Linked DNA regions of Kluyveromyces lactis. The protein of the gene in region 1 interacts with the protein of each later gene in a biochemical or structural test. Links are inferred from orthologs where the notes say so. Each region holds a gene or a part of one and is shown on either strand. Other genes may lie near its edges.

The links. The genes of interacting proteins can lie anywhere in the genome.
Region 2: the proteins of SKP1 (region 1) and KLLA0_F19943g form a complex in vitro, tested with the Saccharomyces cerevisiae proteins (2 studies listed by BioGRID). The link is inferred for Kluyveromyces lactis from reciprocal best matches to the Saccharomyces cerevisiae genes SKP1 and YDR131C.

What each region holds. Positions count from the first base shown.
Region 1 is NC_006041.1:1,507,270-1,509,653, forward strand, and holds SKP1 (SCF ubiquitin ligase subunit SKP1), read right to left. Parts: upstream 1,165-2,384; coding exon 616-1,164; downstream 1-615. Other genes in the region: YSP2 (Ysp2p), read right to left, coding at 1-251; PEX3 (Pex3p), read right to left, coding at 1,470-2,384.
Region 2 is NC_006042.1:1,856,399-1,859,948, forward strand, and holds KLLA0_F19943g (uncharacterized protein), read right to left. Parts: upstream 2,107-3,550; coding exon 526-2,106; downstream 1-525. Other genes in the region: FIN1 (Fin1p), read right to left, coding at 1-321; KLLA0_F19965g (uncharacterized protein), read right to left, coding at 2,996-3,550. UniProt on the Saccharomyces cerevisiae protein: Substrate recognition component of a SCF (SKP1-CUL1-F-box protein) E3 ubiquitin-protein ligase complex which mediates the ubiquitination and subsequent proteasomal degradation of target proteins. Probably recognizes and binds to phosphorylated target proteins.

The sequences.
Region 1 (2,384 bases):
CCATCCATCAAATACACCTTATCATAGCTCGAATTCGACGATAATGCAGATGCATCATCATTGACATTGGGTTTCAGACTCGTAGACCGTAGCACACGTGTATTGCCCTGAGACTTTGGTTGACTCTTGTCCTTATCCTTTTTCTTTTCCTTGTTCTTCTTCTTGCGTTTGTTTAAATTTAGCAACGAACTAGTATTCCCGCTTAGCGATCTTAGTCTGGATTTGGTCTCCTCACCAATGGTCAACGTCATCACAATCCTACACCAAGTATACCAGTAACAAGGGTCCTATGGTGCATCTATCGATGCAGTTCTGCCTTGAATAGATAAAACCAGAAGCAAAAAGTTTCAATTTAAGGTAGCGCGTTCTTTAAATATTATATATAGGTACAAAAATGAAAAATTATCGGTGCAGAGACAGACCTTGAAGCTATAAATGCGATATGAAAGCGATCCCTGCGTTTGCCCATGACTCAAATTCACTACTTCAATTAAGATCCGCTTAACAAGCAAGTACTTAAATTATTGATTACATACGGGAAATGAGGGAAATTGCTATTTTAAACTGAAGAGGATGTAGATACAGAAAGAGAAAACAACAAGAAAACTTGTAAGTTTAACGGTCTTCTGCCCATTCGTTTTCACGTCTTATGGCAGCTTCTTCCTCTGGAGTGAAATCGTTAACGATATTGAAGGTCCTTCTGATTTCTTCAGGTGTTCTGCCCCTAATCATCTCCGCAACAACTTTACATCCAGCATCCAACAATGGCTTGATATTTAGATAGTTAGCTGCTAGAATAATCTCATATAACATTTCTTGGTCCACTTTCAAGAACTCACGGTCCCATGGATCCACAGGCGCAGCTTTCCTCGAATCGTCGTCATCTTCATCGGGGAAATTGGAATCCTTGTGATGAACGGCCCATTCGATCACTTTCTGTAATACTGACGACCTCACATTGGGCACGGGCATCACTATTTCATCGTCACCATCCTCTTCATCATCTTCGTCATCGTCAGCATCGTTATCATCATGCAAATCGCCACTGTTAAGATCTTGCAAGTAGTTCTTTAGTAAAAGTGAGCGTTCAGCGATCTTCCTGTCAACGACAAATCTCTCTCCCTCAACACTCACTAAAACAACGTTCTGGTTTTCCTTGGACATGATTTTCTGGTACTAAATAGAACCCACTTGGTAACTCTATGGTGCTAACTAACTACAAACACCAAGCTCCTATCCACTTGCAAACATTAACTGAGATGTATAACATGTTGATTGACAACCTGTTGGGAATTCGATTCTTTTCGTTATTTGACCTTAAGGAAAAGAAAATTATGATCACGTGGCCATTAAAGAAACAGGAAGAGAAACCCCGTAGTGCCAGTGAAAGAGTAACGTTAACTATAGAACTATCTACATACACGGTATGGAGCGATTTCAGTACTTGAATGGAGGGCCAAGTAAGGTTTTCATAGACCGAAGTTACTATATACGCATGCACTGAGATCGTCAAGTGCCGAGATGGAGTGTAGTTTCTGTAGGAACTTGTTGTTCATTGATACGAGTCCCGCTTTCAACATTTCGTTTGTGCAGTCTTTCGTGGCGATAGAGAATAATGCGATTTGATATGAATTTTTGGATATATCGACTACTTTGGTGTCGTCATCATTCGATTTAGGTTTCGATTTGCTGTTGACATTATCCTCGATTTGTTCCATGATTGTGTGGAATGTTTCATCGATTAAAGACTCCAGGACAATCCATGTTCCAGGTGATTGTAGGCATTTGTTGGTCTCTTGTACAAGTTGTTTTAGTAATAGATTATCCTCGTATAGTACTTTCAAAGCATCTTGTTCTAAAGTTTGTTGAAGAACAAATCTCTCTAAGTTAGGTTCAGGAAGTAGACATGAAATGAACATTTCATTCGATTGTGGCTGTTGAAAGAATTGCTTGTTTGTGGTGACGAATATCTTGCTTATCTTGCCACTGAACTCATCCATTGTCATGATATCTCTTGGGTTCGAATTTTGGAACTCTTCTTTCACCAATTGTTCAATGATACTCTTGTATTGTAGGTATCCACGGTTTAATAACCACCACGATAAGGATAAGAAAGCTTGTTCGTTAACGTATCTCGATTTTTCAGGGTTCGCAGTGGATGCAATGCTCCTTGTGTCCGTGTCAATAGTACCATCGCTGTTTCTTGGGTCAGCTTTTTCACTGGGTAAATTGTTGCTCTTTTCAGTGATCCAACTAGAGAACCAAGATAAGACTGAGTATTGATTAGCCTTCTTTTCCCTTTCCTTTTCCATGGCAGAATTGATGGCAGTATCCAAATACTCTCTTCTTGCCAATATATTCAATTGCAATCGGGTTAAAAGCAT
Region 2 (3,550 bases), on another chromosome or scaffold:
CGAATTTGGGAAAACTATTTCGTTTATCTTCACAACACTGGATTTCTGACGCTCGTATCTATCAAGGCTTAAATTGGGCCCAAGTATATCAGGTGAAGGCAACCTCTTTGGGGTTTGAACTCTTTGTTGTGGTGATAACCTGGCAGCAGGCTTCTCCAGGAGTTTACGATTTCTATTAGGTGATACTGAAAGACGTTTGAAAATTTCTCCACTGGCTGACGAAGGTGGAGACGCATTACTAGAAAGTTCTTGGAGGGGGATTTTGGATGGTGACTCCATTTTGGCAGCTGGTGTCGTCTCTCTTTTGTTTAAAACGATCATTTTTCCCGCAACTACGTCTCATCTCGATTGAATCAAATCCGTTTGTTTACATTTTTTAAACAATCTGTATACACAATATCTCAAAAATCTGGATAATAGTCAGATGCTTTATACCGCAAGAGTATAAAAGTTTATGGTTTGTACAGTTTGTACGAAATTGGAGTCTATGTGTCATGTGCTATGTTGAGTTTATCATCTCTTTCTTTAATCAAATAGTGTTTCATCGTTAATGACTTGGTATACTTGATTACTTTCGTAACCAGATGAATAAAATATTGGCTTCGTAAATTTTTGTTCATCCTGTTCATCAACGATAGTTGGCATATCGTTGATAACCAGTATATGTAACCTGGGGAAGAGTTTTAGAAAGAAGTCGAAAGTTCTCCTCATTGAATGACATATACAATGATACAAAGAAACGATATCTTCCGGAGTTATTTTAGTATCAGTAGTGTCAGATTCATATTCGTAAAACAGGTCATTTAGAAGCTCGTTACTCTTCTTAGCGAGTTCTTCAATTGACTTTGATCTGTATGCAATGCAGGGGGACGTTGTTAGTAAATGGAAATAAGGGATTATTGGGTAGAGTTTAAAGATATGGTTGATGAAATGTTTAGAATGAATATCACTCGAGTTTTGAATCATGAAAGCCTGTTTGGTAGGGAAATATTTTTTGAGAATAATGTCACTGTAAACATGCTTGCAACTATCGCATAGGCACATTTGATTGAGTTCAAATATTGCAAAGTCGTCTAGTTCAATTACGTCAAGAATAGGTTCATCCAAGTCGTCAAATTTACAATCTATGTATTTCAACGTCTTGATGCCAGATAAAATGGTAAGGATGTCTTTAGATAAGACGTGATCAAACATAAAGTCTAACTTCAGTTGTTCCAATCTAGTGAGGTTAGAAAACAAGGATAATAGGAAGTTTTCGTTGTAAAATATAGACAACAACGAAATCTCTTTGAGGTTTTTAAAGTTAGAAAGATCGAACAAACCATACTCTTCGTATACATCCAACGTTTCCGTCTCGTACCACGACAAAATGGAAAGCTTTTCCAAAGTATTCACATCAAATAAATCACTAAATTTTGATGTTCTTGGTGCACTCTCGAATCCTGGAAAAGAATCATTTCGAAGATTTAAACATAGTTCAGTTAACTGTAACTTTTCCGATAGTGGGACAAAGTTTGGGAACCACATGAGTGCATCAAAGTATATTGTAAGGCTCTTGATATTGGCCCAATTAAATTTGTTTGCCATAGATGTTATGCTAGTCAAGTACGAAGCATATGCAGGCCCCGGAAGTTTTGCATGCGGGACTATGTCTAAGGATTTTAACTGCGATGCAAGCTGAGACTTGGAGATCGTTTCGAATGTTTCGATATATAGAAAGTTCTCAAAATAAGTAATATTTGTCGCATGTTCACATATGAGCCCGGTAAACCTTGTCAATAAATTCCGATTTAAATGCCAAGTACAGTGTATCTTATTTATTAGCTTGCAAAGTTCAACGTTCTTGCTTAGAGTATTGAATAGCGCTTGAAACTTAACTGATGATCGCCCTGCTTCAGAAAACACAAGCGTAGACCAGTTGTTGCCAAAATAAGGATATTCTGGGATGTGTATAATTGGTCTTTCGTTCAAATATAGGTTTTGGTAGAGTGACGCCACTGTTTTATCGTAAAGTTGGTGAGATACCATCATCAAGGATGATTTTTCGATTTGAGATAAATATCCCAGTATCTCAAGCCATATTTCGTTCGGAAGCTGTTCGAGCATTTGTGCTGTTATATTAGTGCTGTTTTCATCAATTGAGTGCGTTGTTGCATTCCGTGTGCAAAAGTTAACAAGCGTTTCCTGAGGCTAAGGTAGCATTTGTATTAATTCATCAGTAGCTTACAAATGATTGGCAATGTATAAGAATGTCACGTGAGCGAATGATATGGTTAGTACGAATTTCACAAGAATAAATATCTAGTCCATATTACCCTCCGTGGTTTTATGGACATTTGGTCAATTTGAAACAATACAGAGATGATCAGCAGTTCCCCTGCATAAGGATGAACCGTTTTACAAAGAGATTTAAGATTTTTTTTTACAACTTGAAATGAGCCAAATTCAAAATGGAGTACCAAGCTTTTCGATAATTGAATGATTGGTTAACGAATATGTGTCGCCAGCTGCGACAAGTACACAAAAAAAGCCTGTGAACAATAATACATATATACTAAAAAAAAAAAAACAATGTCTATAATAAAAAACCTCCTCCGTTCGAATCACGAGAGTCGCGTAAAAGCAAAAATAATACAACTTAAAAAGTAAACGTTTTTAAAATGAGATTTGTGACAGCAGTGAACGAGAAGATGAGCAGATTCGACTGGTACTAGCTGGCCAATGTGTCAAACTCCGTAAAGAAAATATGCGACTCCTACATCGAAAAGCTTGAAGAATGAAACTTTAGATAATAGAATGATGCACTGAAAAAATTTGGCTAAGATGAGCTGACAAAGAGGAAGAGGTTAAGAGGATAATGAGAGATGAAATATGCAAATGATGGGAGACGGTGAGAAGATGTTACATAAGTAACAGTTCAGGAAAGCAGTAAAAAAATTCAGTGGAAATAGGTCAAAAATTAAAAACGTCTGACTCTGCGCAAAAAGACTTTCTTTCAGACAAATTGCAAATTCTTATTGAACTGTCTTAAATTTGAGATACAATTCAATTTTAGTGGAAGGAAGATGATATGCTCATTCTTTACCCCCAAGCGCCAAAGTGAGGGCCCTACAACGTATAAGGATAAACCTGGCATCATGCCATCGCCGTTACTGAAATCGTAGATTTGTTCATTGGTTTTGATCTCATCGATTTTCGAGCAGACGTTTTTACATGGCAATCCATTGATAGTCAAATCAGCTATTATCGTGCAAGTGAGGAAAACGTATCCCTTGAAATTAGGATATTCGAATTGAGATTCATTGATATTGCGTTGTTTCCTGATGTCTGTGAACAAACTCTTCAAAATACGGCAGTCCAATGGGTTAGCAACATTGACGTGAATAGTTTTCATTCTCTTATTGAAATAAAGAGTCAAGTCACCGGAATCGATTTGTACCACCAAATCCCTCGGATTTTTATCCACATAAGGGCGTTGGTAAGAGATCATATCCCATTCTGCCGGAGATTCCATTTTTCTTTTTTTTTTGGGACAAAAAGCGGATTCCTC